3 linked regions of the Arabidopsis thaliana genome follow. The protein of the gene in region 2 interacts with the protein of the main gene of each other region in a biochemical or structural test. Each region holds a gene or a part of one and is shown on either strand. Other genes may lie near its edges.

Region 1 (4,484 bases), on a different chromosome or scaffold from region 2:
AACAAAGAGGTTTGATTACTGATGAGATGAGATTTTTAGTGTGTCTTTTTGGAACATCTCCAAGAATGGATCACATCTCTTTTCTTTTCTGTATTTGAATCCAAAGGTGCTGGTGGTTCAAGAGAAGACAGGGAGATTTCAAGGTCAAGGTATCTGGAAGTTCCCCACCGGAGTTGTGAATGAGGTGCTGGTTCTTATTAAAGCTCATTACATGGTTAGGTTCAGCTCTCTGATTCGCCTTTTTGTGTTTGTGTTGAGTCAGGGTGAAGACATTCATGATGGCTCAGTCAGAGAGGTGAAAGAAGAGACCGGAGTAAGGCTTCTTCATGCCTCAACTTTTCACTGTCCTCTTTACAGTTTACATGAGACCAAGAGCTAATCCCACTCTTCTGCATCGTATGTTTTCAGGTGGATACAGAATTCGACCAAATATTGGCCTTCAGGTAGCAACTCCAACTGCATAATCTTCTATATTGCAACATAACTGATTCTCGTCTGTTTTAAAATTCTGGCAGACAAACACACAAAGCGTTCTTTGGAAAGTCAGATTTGTTCTTCGTGTGCATGTTAAAGCCCCTTTCTTTGGAGATCAACGCACAGGAGTCAGAGATTGAGGCAGCTCAGGTAACAGTTTTTGCTCCTCACTTCAACGACTCTCCAGTCTCATCCACTAAAACACTCATAAACCTCTTCTCTTTCTGAAAATGGGAATTTGGTGCAGTGGATGCCTTGGGAGGAATACATAAATCAACCATTTGTACAAAATTATGAGCTATTGAGGTATATGACAGACATTTGCTCTGCTAAAACCAACGGAGACTACGAAGGCTTCACTCCTCTCCGCGTCTCTGCACCTGATCAACAAGGCAACTTGTACTACAACACCCGCGACTTACATTCGCGCAATTGACCTTCTTTCTCAACAAACAGAGCTTTCCTCACAGATTCTAACGAAGCTGGTTTCTTTGCTGCCTCTCTATGTAAGCATTTTGACACTTGAATCACTACATAACTCTCACCAAAACATAAAAGCATCCCAAATGAAAACATTTGCATTCAATACAATGGCTTTAGTTACATACAAGATTCAATGAAGCAGATTCGTTAGTGAATCCTATTGTTCAACAAGCACACTTGATCTTCTTTACACAGCCTCAAAATCTAAACCCTTAATGCACATCTGATTTTACATCACCAACACCAATGTTCGTTCTATCACATGATAGATACCTTATATGGGTCGTAAAAATAGGCATGTGTATACATGTATTTATGTATCTATATACAGAGAGAGATCCACTTCACCAATCTTTGTTAAGTCCTTGTCCTACCGGAGGCAGCTCCACCTCCACTGTCGCTACCGCCACCTGTGGCTCCATACATATGGTTCTGCTGGTGAAGAAACTGATGATGTTGGTGATACTGCATCCCACCACCACCACCGTAGAACCCACCGCCATCTCCGACAGCATCTCTCTGATGCTCTCCGACCTCACCACCAGTCTGTGGCCTCCCTAGTCCAGTCCTCTCCCCTTCGATCTCCCTAAACCTCTGCAAGTAAACTTTCAATGGCTCAACATAATCCTCAAAACCTAGAGTAGTCATAGCCCAGAGCAAATCGTCTCCGTTGATCGTCTTCCTCTTCTCCTTCTGACACTTATCAGATGCTTCTCCGGTGACGAAGCTGATGAACTCGGAGACACACTCCTGCATCGTCTCTTTGGCATCTTTAGAGATCTTGGCGTTGGCGGGCAAGGCCTTCTTCATGATCCGGCTGACGTTAGCGATCGGCAAGAACCTGTCTTGCTCTCTTGGAGACAAGGAGGACTGTCCGTTCTGGTTGTTCCCGTTTTGCCCTCCACCGGAATCCCTGTCGGAATCCCCCATTTCTGAAAATTACAAGGAATAAAAAAATAAACTTTACTCTTTTTTCAAATCATTTCCATCAATGATTCGAAATCGAATTCAATTGGTGGTTGACTTGAGTGGGAAGACTGAAGCGAGAAAATTTAGGGTTTTAGAAAGAGTAAAAAGAGCAGGTGTGAATTGTTAAGTGTCGGCTGGTATTGTACACAGTGGTGAAGGAGTCGCCGGAGCTTATATAAAGAGAGGACGCACGACTTCTGCTCACTTGACACGTGATCTTATATGAACCGTCCGTTTACTGATAAGATTCTGACAACTGGATACGTGCTCGACCGTCGGATTGGAATTGATCTTGTTTGAGAGATAGACAGCCCTTTAAGGCTTTGCCACGTGTTGTGGACAGTTAGTGGACCCGGCACACTTTTGTCACGAGCCGACGCGCATAAGAGGAGCGTGGTAAACACACAGAAGAGAGAAAGATAGCGCGTGGAAAACACGGAGAAGATAGGTGGGCGTTAGGGAGACAGAGGGTAACTGCCACTCAACGACCCTTCGGTCAATTTTTCACTTCTTTTTTTTTTTGTGTTACGAGCGAATTGGGTTGGATCATGAGGGTGTGGTCTGTGGTGGGGTTCATTGCCATCAAAACTGCATCGACCAATCAGATCAGACAGCTGTTTGGAAACAAAAAGCGTCCCAGTTTTGTCCACTTTTGACGGTCTCGATCTTCTCCTGTGGGTCCAACCATTGTCGCTTTTCTAAGCGTGTGATTAGTTAACATTAACAATAATCACCAGCTTCCAGCTGTATTAAGCTCTTAATGACATAGCTAATACTTGTCCCACCTGGAGAATCCTAATGGGCCGTTAAGATAATCAAACTGAATGGCCCATTAAAGGTGATGGACCTATTATCAATATCTAGGCTTCTTTTAAGCCCATACTTTTTTCAATGTAATGAGGACTTGAGAAACTGTGGTTTGGTCAAAACCCTGCTGACTCCCACCATCAACTAGATATTCTGAGCACGTAGACACGACCAAACCCACGATGTTGAAGCCGTTGTGTTCAAAGCTGAATGTGTGCGAGTATAGTTGAGGGTAGGCTTGAATCTTTTGGTTACTGCATGACTACTCTAACTGAATTGGCTTAATTAAATAAAGAAAAGGAGAAACGTCACACTAGATACAAAAACGTTGCACCAAATATTATTATTAAAATAATACTTATACAAGGAGTGAAAGAGTAGGCGAACCACTCAGTAATTGCTTCCAAGTGCCGTATCTCTCTTTCTCTTTCGCTCTCGGTTCATTGTTTCATTTGGAAGATTCAGCTCTAAATTTGACCCTAACAAGTCAGCCACGATTTTTAATATATTTAGAAAAGATACAACTGAAAAGAAAAAGGCTACTACAAGGTATAAAGAGAGACACTGCCGTACAGAGCTGTGTGACCTGAAGCCACCACGCAAAGGGTCTCTTCCTCTTCTTTAGCTTCCTTCTTCTTCTCTATATATTCATGCTATTTTCATTTCTTTAACAAAATACAAAGAAAAACAAACAAACCTCTTTTCTTTGTTTTTAACGATGGGAAGCTTCTTCATCATCCGTTGCTTCTTGTTACTCTCTTTCTTCTTGTTCACCGGAGCATTTGGGAATAATTTATGGACCAGAACGGAAATGGTGGAGATGGCTGGCTACGGTGAACAGAAACTCTCCTCTGTCGTGATCACCGGATCTCTTCTCTGCGACACTTCACGTCCTCACCTTCACTCCATCCCTATCCCAGGTATTTGTTTCTCTACCTTTTTTCTTCATGTTTCTTGTCTTCCGTCCGAATATATACTAACATGATCCTCGCAGGTGCCACCGTTGCCATCAAGTGCCACACTGGATCCAAAAGGAGGTCCAAATGGATTAAGGCTGTTACTGATGAATTGGGAGAGTTTGAAATCGATCTTCCCTCCCAACTCCATGCGATTCCACACCTTGAAAACACTTGTTTCATCAAGCCAGTATATGTGCCTAGGCCCTATAGATGCTATAACACCTCTACCAATATACACAAACCTATCAAACTTGTTTCCTCTACCAATGGTTTCCGTGTCTACACCTCAGGGAAAATCAGGTTACAGGGCCACAGTTCGAGATCATAGCAAGCTCGTTGAGACAACATTTCAACCAAAAGATTTGAACACAAACAGCTGATTCTTCAAGTTCCTTCATGTGAAAAGCATTTTTTTTGTTATGGTCCTCGTTTGCTTAGCTGGCGCTCCAGTCACAGAACCGAGTTAGAGTCTCTCTACATTGTGTTTCATGTTCCCAAAGTGTAAGAACAAACAACTGTAAGCATCATGTATATAAAGGCTCCCATGTTTTTGGTACAAAAGTAGTGTGATCACATTAGAATATATATCATATAAAATGTTTAGCAGCAAAAACCCAAATGATCATATTGGCTGAAGCAAAGACACACTGACACAGAGCATGTCTCTAAACTTGCATTAACTAAACATTGAAAACAAGAGAGACAGAAAGGCAGAGATACAACTCAGGACTCAGACGCTTTGGTAGGAGTTTCAGAGAGTATGTATGTTGCAACATCACCACAACAAGTAAG
Region 2 (5,675 bases):
GAAAGAAATATTTGTTTAAAATCAAGCGTGGGTCAATGGAGAATTTGAACATACACATGCAAGTTGGCAACTTGGTGGTTAAAAAGCATTTCATGCATGTGGGACCTTTCTTTTGTATCTAATTAAAATCGCATTTTTATAAGATAAGATTAATAATTCTACATCAGTGATTAAAAAATGTGGATTATTATTCATTATTAATCAAGATTAGTGGAAGCTCCTTTGGTCCAATAATTGACGAAGGGTTCATTAATGTTTCTATACCAAAAAGTAGAGGTTTGAATTTCAATTACTGCGATATATTAGCAAATTTGCAGATTAATGGAGGTAAGTATGCAAGAGATCTACAACAAAATACAATTCTAACCATTCGTTAAGATTTTACACAGAGAAGATATTGAAAGTGTCCATCAATCACATGAAGAAGAAGAATAATGTGTGGTCTATCGTGAATCTAATAAAGATTAGAAAAAATTGTTCGTAGTAAAATCGTCTATGTAACAATTTTCATAATTTATAATAAATAATAAATGTATATGGCAAAAAAAAACTGAGATTATTGATTTAAATTTTTGATAGGTCGGTTCAATACTTTTAAGACTGAGCTTCTACTAATTTCTGGAACCTTAATTATAATAATCCTCTAACTAAAAATAATTCGAGCTCATTTAAAATACTTAGGAGATTATCTTATTTCAAAAGTTGTTCCGGCGGTTTATAAAAATATCATGTACTAATTACACATAAACTATACATCTAGACCAGGTTATAGACTTTAATATATATCTCCTATGAGAGTCTACGAGACTACACGAGGGTTTGTTTAACATTAATAAGTTACATACGCCTGCAATTAGAAAATACTAAACATTTCTAAAGATTAAAACATCGGATCTAAAAGTTGATGTGTCGATCTAAATAAATATTTACTATATTCTTCACCACAATTCATAAACTTTGGCTTTTCGATATGATTACAGCCAATGAGAAATTAGTTAAAAATATGAGCCAAAATTGTTAAATCACACTCCACTAAAAAAAGTATCAAAACCTTTTTCATGAAATTATCGCTTAGTAGTTAGTACTCTTTGTAACAATAGTTATAACTCACTATCATCCCTTTCTCTTTCTCAACTTTACTTTATAAAATAAACCTCATTAACAAATTAGAAATATCTAAATTCACTAATTATTAGTTTATTACTGTTCATACTTAGTGAAGTCGATAAAAAAAAATTATTTTGCCAAGAAATTGAGATTAATAAAACTTGATATTAATTTTTTTTTAAATGAGATTAAAACATAGTTTTAGTTTAAAATTCATAAAGATAATTTATTAATAAATACAAACTCAGCCTATTAAAAATTGATCCCAAAAAGGCATAAATTAAAAATGACCTACCAAAACGATATATATAAGAATTTTAAACAAGTGAACGAAAATAAATAAAATAAACAAAAGGCAAAACGGTTCGATTCAGTTCGGTTTAGGTCTTGGTCCGAACATATGTCATCACCGGTCCACTGATCTCAATCTCAAATTCACTCGACTCGACTCCACCACCGTCGTATGCTTCGAGTCAAACTCAGTACGCCGCCGTCGAGAGTTTCCAAGCGGAGGTGGTAATGAGTGGACGAGTGTGCCAACCCAACATCAAACATCCATTACTCTCCTCCACACGATAACCTTGGCCACTATTAAACACAGACAAAAGCATACTCGCTTGCTTAAACGCGTTAGACCCAAGATGTGCCGGCGCTAAACCGGACGAACCAAACCGGTTTCCCCATTGACTCAACGTTTCGTGTCTCTCGACTCTGTCAGGACCTTCACAAGCCACCAGATTACAAATCTGTTTCCCTAAGTAAACTTCAGACATGACTTTGTCTTGACTATTCGGAACTCCTTCCAACGAATCAAACAGAGTCGAATAATAATGTAACGATTCAGTAAACCGGTCTAAGAAAACCGGTCCGTTATGGTTCGATTCTTGCTCAACCACCGTGAAAATCACCGGTTTAATCTGTTTCACAACGCCGAGAACTTTCTCTATCCCACCGGGACGACCTAAGAGCTTATGTAGCTCAAAAACAGAGTTCACCGCAACAGCTTCCGTATCGCTCGGTCTAAGCTCAAGCATCGAAGCATCGAGATCGGCTAAGCTGTTAGCAACGAATCCACGGTATTCGAATTCTACGTGAATCGCCTCCGCAAGCTGAGCTAATTTACAACCAACTTCATGAAGATGATCAGAATTATCCGGCGCCGGTGGACCAATTCCGGTTAACCGGAAAGTTGGAGGACCTCCTTCTCGAAGCGCAAGAGCTTGCATAAGTGCAGGCCATTGAAGACCTTGGTTCATCGAGAAATCAATGACGTGTACTCTCTTCTTACCTTCAAAAGCTTCGAGAATCGCTTGGTTCGCCGTGAAGTGAGCGAATTTAAGATAAGGACAAGTCTCGTAAAAGTGCATCTGAAGAGTATCGGAGAGACAATGATCGATCTGATTCTGCGGCGGAGAGAGACGGTAGATCCGCCGCGCTAAAGCTTCGGCGAAGTAAGTAGCCACTTTTCTCATAGCTCCGGCTTGAGACACAGCTAAGCATCCGATTTGCTTCACAAGAGCTTCCGCTAGAGTCAAATTGTTCTGCTGGATTGCTTCTGCACAAGCCATAAGCGCGTGGACTAAACGAACACCGTTCTCTTGCGAGTCAACCAGGATAACAGAACGAGTTGACTCACCCGCCGCCGTCGTTGTCGTGGTGGTTGTCGTCACCGTCGTTCCTATGACTCCACCAATCTGCGTACCCGTCGAAGTCGATGTAACCATAGAATCAGGACTCGAGCATGATTTCAAACGCTTGTTCTGATTATTCGACGAAGACGAAGAATCAATCGCCGGAAACTGATAAATCGCGTTTCCGGGAATGACTTTAAGGTCATAATCCGAAGCCGGAAAACCACAAATCTCCGGCGAAGGAAGAACCGGATCTAAACCGTTAGAACTCGCCGGAAGAGGAGGAGGATTAAGCTCAGAGAGCATATTATCAAGCCAAGAATAAAGCTCCGACGGATTATAATGAACAGTATCCGTCGCGAGATGAGATAAACCATCTTCTTGAACATTACTCATCATCGTCTCTAATTGTTCGAGTTTCAAAGCAACCTCCGCCATCTCCGATGACCTAACTTTGTAACCTAAAACAGCGAGAAGCTCGTCGTCCATGTTACCTCCACCGTCTTCTTCTTTTTTCACCATCATCATCTTATCTTTAGAGATTGATGATGATGAAGAAGAAGTCCCGTGGTTGGACAATCGACCTTGGAATTGGTGATGATCTCTCTTCATTTTTCAGCTATGAGTTTCGATTAGATTAGGTCTGATCTTGGATCTAGGGTTTTGCCTTTTTTTTAGTTTGTGTGTGTTTGGGGATGATGAAGGAAGAAGAAGAAGGAACATGTGACTTCTCTATGTGAAGAATCTTAAGAGCAAATGGGTTTGGGATTGGATTGCTTTTGTTTTTCACTGCTACTACCACTTCAATCATCATTCATACCAGAACTAATAATAATAATTTCTCAAAATAATAATAAAAAAATTTCTCAAAAAATATTTATTTTATTTACCAGAAAATATAAATTTATTAAAATAAAAAGATATTTATTCTGGATGAAAATTAAAAAAAGAAAAGAAAAAGAATGGTGGTGATGGGGCTCGACGACCAATGAATAATGTACCAGAAAGAGTAACATACATACACATCTAAAGTGATAAGGCTGTGAAATTACAACACACATTACTAATTTTATTTTTATTTTCATATACGTAAAAAAAAATAAAGTGTGTAAAAACATTTAGAATTTCTGTATATTTGAAGTGATATTTACATTCATTGTGATGTGTATTTTTTTGTTTTGATTTACAAGATCTGATGGAGTAATATAAAAAATTGTGGATCTACTGAATAGATATATTATGAGTTTGTTTTTTTAACTATATAATAATTTTAGTTTAATTGATGAAGAAAGTAATTACAAGTCTAAGAGAATCATTAAACTTTTGTCAAATCTATAAAATAGGAGATTTAGGGCTTTTTAGTTGATTCTTTTGATGGAAGAACTGAAGATGCTCTTTTTCAGAGGATAATTAAATTCAACTTAAAAAGCTGAACTCACTTCATGATAGCATGATACTGTTTTACTTCCCAGTTTCTTTATGGTAATAATAATTTAACCATATGTCTTGGATGTAAAAAAATAATGATATATAATCACATTTTGAATTGTAAGAGATTATTATTTTATTTTTTCCAACAAGTTGTTTGAAGCTCAGCCATCGAAAACATAAATCTAAAATTGCGTATGATCAGATAAAAGAATAGTAAATTTTGGTTTTAACAAAAGTACAGTACTAGTAATTTTACAGTAACTTTAAGTCCTACAGGTTCAGTTTATGTACAAAAAAAAATCTCTAAAAGGGATTCTATAATTGGGTATTGAAAAATCATCGGACCAATGTATTTTCAATTTTCGAGTTCTCTTTTATAGAAGTAACTTTCAAGTATTAAACGTTAATTAGGTCATATTTTTTCTTCTAATTTCCAAGATGCATATAATTTTAAAAGCTTTCATAATAATAATAAATATATATCGAGATTTCAGATGTTGTATCTTCGATCTTTTTAACTTGACAAAGTTAACTTAGGCTTATGCTAATCTACTGTTACTGTCAAAGTCTAAATAAAAAATATAACTAGCCACTTAAAACTTACGAAAACAACAAAAACTAAATAAAACACGAATGAAAACATTAAATTTAATGATATTTGATGACAATATTAAAGTTCCGACTATATAAAAAAATCATCAAGCAAACAAAACCTAATAGTGTAATATTACTAAGCATTCATAGCTCGAAATACAATTAATTAAAGGCAAAAAAAATGGTGTGACAAGAAAACCCGTTTTTAAGCATAACAGCCGGCGTCCGTCGACGTCAAATCATTCAAAGAGATTCCCGTTACATTGCTTAACGCCGTCATTAACGGCCTCTTTCTATCAACTGTATTAAAAAGAAAAGAATATATTCATTTGTATCCTTCAGGAAACTCAAACTGACAGCACGTGATGGATCCACGTGTTAATGGGTCCCACAATATAGCTTTCAATAACTATACGCGGTTGGAACTTTTGTGGTCTCTACTAAAATTCATGAGATTTGAACACGTGTCCTATTATTATTAGATCTAAAACGGTAGGGACCGAGTCTGCTTCCTTCATCTTGACGGCCGTTTTTACGGATCCGTTTTTTTTAATTTCATCTCTATCCATTTGTTACATGTTATATTGTCATGTTACGTCACTTTCTTTAACTATTTATCATTAAATTCACTTTTTTTTTTTTTTTTTTTTTGGGTTCATATTAATTTTGTTATTTCTTCCATGCAAAACCATGGTTTTGTTTCTGTACATAATATTTTTAAAAATGTTATATTTTAAGTCTTCTCCATTTTTTATAAACATATTTTTCAGTGATAACTCAAATATCCATAACTTTTCCACAATTTCTAGCAAACATCACTCCCCTATAAAAAGTCAATTACTAGTTACTCGTAGTCGTACACCTCGTAATATATAGTTTTCAAGGTGTCAAAATCGAATTTATATTTTTGTT
Region 3 (7,682 bases), on a different chromosome or scaffold from region 2:
AGATCGAAATGGATTACGGATCAGCACATCATCAACTTTGTAAAAAGATGGGAGTGTTCTTCTAAACAATGGAATATTAGGCGAGGAGATAACAAATATAAACCAATATTAATTGGAAAACTGTTTAAAGCATATCCATAAATACAAGATTAAGGATTCATCTCTGTAACACAGGTAAATAGAGAATGCATCTAGTAAAACCCGAGTAGTATTGCGATTATCTCGACTTAATTCAAAAGAGAAACTATTGTAAACTACATTTTCGAGAACTAAGAAGTACACACATAGTTAAGAAAAATATCCGAGATATATATAAAAACATGTAAATGCAAGTTCTTACCGGAGAGAAGAATTTTCAGGCCATCTTCACCATTCTCGATCTCTCCCTTGAGTCTTGTCTGATCGCACACTTTGTGTGTAAAATCGACATGTATCTTTGAATTTATGTTTTCGGTTTTGCTGTTAAAAAGGAAAGGAGTTATGTTTTTGTCTGAAAAAATATTTTCCATATGAGGTATATTTTATTCAAAGAAAAATATTTTTAGTCATTAATTTTGGTTCTACCTTCTAAATAACAATATTTTAGCTTTCCAATTTGGATCTTTTTCTTGATAATCAAGTTTACCCATTTTTCTATATTTTATATTTTTACACAAATTAGAAAGTAAATTAGAATTCACCTTAGAATTTAAAGGAATAAGATTCATGTTTTTATACTATTGTTTAAGATTTTTTTGTCAACACAAAGATTTTAAATGATAAGATAAGAGTACTCTGGTTTTCCATTAATATATGAAGATTATTTTCAGTTTGGGTTTGAAATATCCTTGATATTAAACGAAAAGAATAACATGAGTTGGTAAGTAAAACATAATAAGACATGACTAGATAGGTAAAATTACATAAAGCAAATTAGAAAGTAATTTGGTCAACACCTCTAAATTTGTAAAAATAAGATATTACAGCATTTATTTTTGTTGATTTTCACTATGTTATTTCAATGAAATCATTTATGACCCAGTTAAGGAAATTAATCTGGATTTCTTATCATAAACTTTACCTCTTTGTTATCCATGAAAATGCCAAAATGCAGAATCTTCTCCCGTTTCGTGTGAAGCTTTTTGACCACTAATTTTCATTTACACATTAATGTTTTTTTCCCCGTAATTTCACATCAACCTTGTGCTTAAACAACAAAAGAACACAAAATCATCTAAACTGGCTATTACTATTACTAATACCCTTAAAATAATCTACCTCAAACAAAATACGCATAGTGTATGTTCCTCTTCACCTACGTTAAGCAACGGAAAAAAAGACACAAAAAAAAAACAAAAAACAAATGATAAACATAACATTAATTCCTAAAACCCGGTTAGAAGAAAACCAAAGAATAGAAACCAAACCGGGAATGTTTTTTCTTTGCTGTCAATTTTAACTAAGTAGTCTTCAACAGATCCATGCAACCCTTTGAAGTGCTTCTTTGATCATTCCTGGTGTCGCTATTTTTGACCCCTTGTGCTGAAACCAACACATTTCATGTCAATCTAGGTTAACCAAATCCTGGTTAAGCCAAAAGTAGGTTAGAGAGTATACCTTGCAATTGACGGTTAAGCAGAGCAAACCGTCTCCGGTCGAGGATTGAACCGAATGAGAATCCAAATGGAGATCACTAATCACATCCATTATCTCAAGCAATACTCCTTCTCTCCAAGCACATCTAAGCTCAATAACCACCTCATTACCAAACGAACCGATCCTTAAATTATCGGTTAAACCAGTAAAACCGGTATCTGCTGGCTCGGCTTCACCAACATTGTTAACCGACACCTTCTTCCCATTTCCTGTTTCATTATTTGCGCAATTAGCTGATGTTCTTTCTCCTGCGTCGCATGGTTTCTTCCTCTTCATCGTCATCGTCCCACGAGTCTCTGTATCGGTTGATTCTCTGCAAGATTCTAGTTCTTGAACCCGTCTCTCGAGTTCTTGAAGATACTCTATCGTATCGTCAAGAATCGATACTTTATCGATCTATCGAAAATGTTAAACATAAGATTAGTTACCTCGCGATATATATGGATTTGAAATTTTGAAGAATCGATTATATAAATATACCTTGTTGATTGACGGAATGATTTTTCTCAAGGTCATGAACCGTTCGTTCAATTTCTCGCGGCGCTTCTTCTCTAAAACCGCATGGTTCCCAGTTTCATCTCTGGCTTCTGGTGAGTCCAACATTAACTTCTCTTTCTGGTGCACTCGCGGAACATCGAAAATAATTTTCTTTAACATTCCTTGTGATGGTGCCGTGACCGTGGCGGTTCCTGATGATGATGACGATGATTTCTTCCACCTAGTGAAGCTTGACTGTTTATCGCAGTTTCGAAACTGCGGTCCGAGAATTAACTGATGGTTGGTCTTAAAAATCGTTGAGATCACACTTTGGTAATGAACGTCGTCGTTTCTTGGATCAAATGACAATGTCTTCACATTTCTCTGTTGCTCTTGAATTTGCCCTAGTCTTTGAACTCTACTCTTTCTTGCACCGTAAGCAACCCGTCCAGCCGCCCCTTCAACAAACGTTTGAGAGACGCAATCGCTGGAATTTAGCGACTGGTGAACGCAGTTACTAAGCTCGTCGTCCATGAGCTGCCAGCTTTGCACCTGAGAAGCTCCTCCAGTGATTCTTTCGGTCATGAAAGAATCATGATCATCTGCTACTTGTTCATGTTCTTGATCGAAACCGTTGGTAGTTCTGCTCGGAGAAGCTGTTGGAAAAGGCTCCGTACTGAACATAGGCGCGTAAATCTCGTCGCCTAGAATCTGTTGCGGATCAAGAACGTTGTCGATGTGATAATCGGATCTTGCTGGTAATATTGTAGCGTACGGATCAGGGGCTTCGAGGAATGATGTCTTCACGCATTGTATTACATTCATGTCTTCCGTAATCTACGAGACGAAACACACCAAGAAAAAGCCTTGAAAAAGTTTTCAATTATAACTATACCAACGAGCTAGTAAAAAGTACAAAAGCCGTATTTTCGCGTTTTGTCATAACCAAACCGTGGAAATCTTTAAAAATCGAGACTACTAAAATATTAGTTTGTGTGTTCTTGGTGTCTATACCGTTATTCGACAGATTGAAGGGTCAAATTGAAATGTTAGAATACATTGTGGTAATTTTATAATTATTCTTTTTTTCTTAATAAAGGATTTTCATAATAATTATTCTAAAACATTGGAAGCAGAAAACACAAATATTGGCTTACATGTTCTGTGGTACCAATCTCAACGACTCCTCCAAGGAACGGGAAGCAAACCACTGTCTTAACCGCAGCACTCTAAACCACCACAAAACGCAAACAAAAACGAACGATTTTAGTGTTTTCAAATCGCAAAAAAGTGTTACATAGCAACTACATCAATACTACAACTTACTTTTGCTAGAAGAGAACGGCTAAACACTTTACTATCCGCCGTATGAGCGTTGCACAACCATATCGGTTCACCGTTTGCAAACGTCCGTCCAGGCATTCTGCAAAAAGACAGGTTCATTTAGAAAGCAGCAATGCATTCTAAGCTTAATTTTTCCACATTTTTTCTTCCTAACATATTCATAATTATTGAAAGTTAATTAGCCGTGTTCATAAAGACCAAAATGAAACGAATTTTTTAATTAATCCGGACAGAAACAAACTTTTGTGATGATAAATAAACCGAACTAAACTCGAATCGAACACAAATATACTGCAACCAAACCGAATTAATAAAATTTATTAGATGTAGAATAGAGTTAAACATACTAATGCATATATATACACATTATTATTTAAAATTAATTATGTTTTAACTTTTTCTTTTGTAATCTGAAACCGACCAAATCCGGACATTAAATTTTGAAACCAAACTGAAACTAAAAAATTGGTTCTAGCTCATACTTTTTTCCTGCAGAACCCTGAAATCTAACAAACCTAAACTGAACCATAAAAGTCGAAATCCTTGGACCTACTAGTATTAAAAGTATATTTTGGCACGTTGTTTAAAACTGGCAAAGATCAACACGATCATGACACATAATAAATGTCAATGCTGATAGAGGAAAAGACGGAATTACCCTTCACCAATGTTGAAGACGAAAGACATACAAACCAAATAGTACCACTCGGTGTCGGCGAGATCTTCCGGTGAAAGTGCGGCGGCGGAAGCTCGTCTGGTGACTTGAGATCCGGCAGCAACGCCTGAAGAAGAAGATTCAGCGACGGAGAGAGACTCGTAAAGCTCGCTAAGCTGCTCGCTCCTCCGTAGACCAAGCTGATCAGCTTTGATCTCCGAAGCTTGAATCGTCTTCCTCGTTTTGATATCTCCATTATAGTATCCATCTCCCCATTCTAAAACTCTTTTTATATATAGAAAAACAAAAACAAATATCAAATCGAATAAAGAAAACAAACAAAACATTTTCTTGAACTAATCAAGAACTTCAAGAAGAAGAGAAAAAAAATTGAACTTTTAAAGAAGATCAAGAAACCTTATATGAGTTTATAAGAAAAAATCAATGGAATCAAGAAAAACCTAGAGAACCTTGTCTTGAGTTGTAGAACTAAACACTAGTTTTGATTTGAAGTGAACACATAAGTTTTATCTAATTTTCCAATTAAAATCAAGAAATTTACTTCATCAATATCTTTCAAAATCTCCAATATCTAGTGTTCAATGAATATGATTTAAGAAACTTACCCAGACTGAGAAGCAGAGACAGACCAAAAGATACCATAACTCCATTGAATGTTTCGAACTGAAACTGCGAGGTGTTTCTTCAGATTCTCTGGCACAGTTGTTCTGTTTTGTCCGGTAGCCATTGTTTCTTCATCCCTATATCCCATGAAACCACACACAGGGAAAAAGAAAAGAAAAGAAAAAAATCAAACTTTTTGTCCTGATTTAGAAAGAAATAAGATACTATGTTAAATTTATAGCCTAAAAAAGAAAGAAAAAGGGAAACTTGTAACTCTTTACATTTTTTTTGAAGTATCAGAGAGGATACAAACTAGATGTTAAGGTTTTTGTGTTTGTCATTTGATGAAACAGTTGCCGTTTTCGCCGGAACAAACAGAGAAATGTTTGAGAGTTTTTTTTTTCTTTGGTCACTCCATACTTTTTTTTTATTAATGTTGTTTTGAATATTAATTTTGTTGTTGTTTGAGCTTGAACTCGAAAGACTAGAAGAACTGTCTACGAATCCTTTTTTTCTTTGAATATGACGATATCATCTTTGTTGTGTACAGAACAAAACACAAGACATTTATGACGAAAATAAAAAGTACTTATAATTTTTTAATGATTTATGAGAAAAAAAAAGGATACAAAAGTAGAGGAAAAAAGCAAAACGCTGATGTTGATTGATTGTTCCTCTTTTTATCTTGAAGTTGATTGATTAGTTCCTCATTTGGGAAGAACAACCTTTTTTTAAGACAATGAACTACAATGTCCATTGTTGTGGTCTTGTCTTCAATAAATTCTCTATTCAGTCTCTTTGTGGTTCTAGAGATCTCTTTTTTTTGGGAATATTGAATCATTGTGTGTCTCTTCCAACACTGATTTTAAAGTTAAAATGTTATCACGTCAAGGCTGAACTTTTCACCCATCTATTCTTGAAAAAAAATGTTTCCCTCACTTAATATCCCCACTGATACCAAAAAAAAAAAATTTGTTTCCTTGACTATTAGATCTTTGAAGCAATGTTGACTAGAATACCATTAGCATGTGATCCAAGTCCAATCTAACCAGCATCGTATGATTTCTTTCATTTTGTATAATCTAATCAGTCTTATTACTATTTGAGTGATCGAAATATATTATTGTCGGTGAGTAACATCGTTTTATGAATTTTCCAAAAGTACACAAAACGACCAAAAGTATAATGTCTCAAATCAGAGTATATGATTAACATATATAATAATAGTAAAATCATCAGCTTTTTACTTGGTGTCAAAACGAAGCTAATCGCTATGAATCTAAATTATAGTCACAAACACAATAATAGATAAATTGAGGAGGAAAGAGATAATATAAGAACAGTCTTTACTAAAATTGGGAAACACAAAGAAAGACACGAAATTAATGTTTGGCCTCGAGGAGTTCCCCCAATACGTACAGACACAATCTTAATTTTTGCAATCACATCTTTAAAATGAATAAAAATGTTATGGACATTTTCGACGTTGATTCTCCCTATAGTCATATACTTACAATATTATTATATTTCAAAATTCTCTTATACTATTAAACCTATATTTTCGAAGTATTTATGCAACTATTTAAAATATAACTTTAAATAAAACCCTGCTAAATGGACCATTAGTACTTATTATTTTCCTTTTCTGACATCTAGAAAAGAGAGAGACGTTGACGTCAGAAAACATTAAAATATATATACACGTTCGGTCCCCTACAAGATCAAAGTCTAAACATTCGTAGTGCTGTTGATCGGAGGTTTCGGTAAATTAATCGGATGTGTTGATGTTTGAGGGTAATATTTAGGAAATTTGGTATAGCTTTCGATACAACAATATAAAATTTGTCTGATCCAAACTTATGTAACACTAATATATATTGTTATTTTCAATCAGAATACTAACTCAAGTTAAATGGGGAATTCAACTCCTAATCCGATGAAGCCTTGCTGGTTTGGATCAAGACGTCATCTTCACTTCAACAACTCCATCTCCTGACTCCTATCTTTCGCTATGGTTTGCTAATTTCCAACAAAATTAGACCACATCTTTACTGATCTTACTAGAACACTCGTCTCTATATGTTTATCTTATTTGATTGTATCTGAGCATTAAGGCTCCTCTGTAAGACCTCTTTCATATATATAAACGGAACTAATTAAAAAAAGAAGTAATATATATATATATATAGGGTATATACTATGTTGTTATTTTCTTGACATAGACGGCACAGAAGAAATAATGTTGTAAACACGGCCATTAAAATCATAAACTTTTGGGCATGTACGAGAAGATGTGAGAGATTCAATGCTATGTATAGGACAATGGAAGCATGACACTATTTTGCTATTAACTGGTTTGTATCCTCTCTTCTATGTTAAAAAACTGTATGTTTTCCCATATACTAAATGACATATGGATATAGCTGAGAAAATAATATTTTAATTTGGATATACTATATTGGTTTAACAATGAAACATAAGTGGTTCCACTTTCCACCTCATAAGGCATATTATCATCATCTTATATGTATCTCAATTCTCAAGGTTCAGAAAAAGGTAAGATAGTTCATCTAAGTCAATGGAAGTCAAACTATGTAAATAATGGGCTTTTGATTTGCTTCTTGTTTATGATTTGATTCAAAGATCATGGTGGATCTTAGGAGGTAGAGAATCACATGAATTTGGATGGGAATTCAAAAAATTATACTTAATTTGGCTTAATGAAACAATTAATAAAGAAGAGACCAAGAGTCAATATTGTCACTGGCGACGTTAATTAAGCCATCAACTATATAATTTTGTCATTTCCCAAAATTGTCGTTATTACTTGTTGCGTCTCCATGAGAATCATAATGAACATTAGACCTCGTTTATTTAATTATATCATTAAGCCCGTATCCTCTTTTGTTTTATCCTGCTTTTTATAGCATTATTTTACTTAGACTCT

The links.
Region 1: the proteins of RGA1 (region 2) and NF-YB2 form a complex in vitro, tested with the Arabidopsis thaliana proteins (one study listed by BioGRID).
Region 3: the proteins of RGA1 (region 2) and GL3 form a complex in vitro, tested with the Arabidopsis thaliana proteins (one study listed by BioGRID).

Annotation. Positions count from the first base shown.
Region 1 is NC_003076.8:19,306,817-19,311,300, reverse strand, and holds NF-YB2 (nuclear factor Y, subunit B2), read right to left. Parts: upstream 2,075-4,484; 5' UTR 1,888-2,074; coding exon 1,315-1,887; 3' UTR 1,029-1,314; downstream 1-1,028. Other genes in the region: NUDT2 (nudix hydrolase homolog 2), read left to right, coding at 1-9, 107-184, 263-313, 409-443, 516-624, 722-910; AT5G47635 (Pollen Ole e 1 allergen and extensin family protein), read left to right, coding at 3,452-3,653, 3,728-4,020; mtACP3 (mitochondrial acyl carrier protein 3), read right to left, coding at 4,416-4,484. UniProt on the Arabidopsis thaliana protein: Component of the NF-Y/HAP transcription factor complex. The NF-Y complex stimulates the transcription of various genes by recognizing and binding to a CCAAT motif in promoters.
Region 2 is NC_003071.7:253,995-259,669, forward strand, and holds RGA1 (GRAS family transcription factor family protein), read right to left. Parts: upstream 3,575-5,675; 5' UTR 3,351-3,574; coding exon 1,587-3,350; 3' UTR 1,253-1,586; downstream 1-1,252. UniProt on the Arabidopsis thaliana protein: Probable transcriptional regulator that acts as a repressor of the gibberellin (GA) signaling pathway. Probably acts by participating in large multiprotein complexes that repress transcription of GA-inducible genes.
Region 3 is NC_003076.8:16,526,634-16,534,315, reverse strand, and holds GL3 (basic helix-loop-helix (bHLH) DNA-binding superfamily protein), read right to left. Parts: upstream 5,227-7,682; 5' UTR 5,019-5,226; coding exon of another isoform or gene 5,017-5,018; 5' UTR 4,884-5,016; coding exon 4,738-4,883; intron 4,397-4,737; coding exon 4,115-4,396; intron 3,536-4,114; coding exon 3,439-3,535; intron 3,342-3,438; coding exon 3,270-3,341; intron 2,950-3,269; coding exon 2,116-2,949; intron 2,032-2,115; coding exon 1,597-2,031; intron 1,522-1,596; coding exon 1,450-1,521; 3' UTR 1,029-1,449; downstream 1-1,028. UniProt on the Arabidopsis thaliana protein: Transcription activator, when associated with MYB75/PAP1, MYB90/PAP2 or TT2. Involved in epidermal cell fate specification.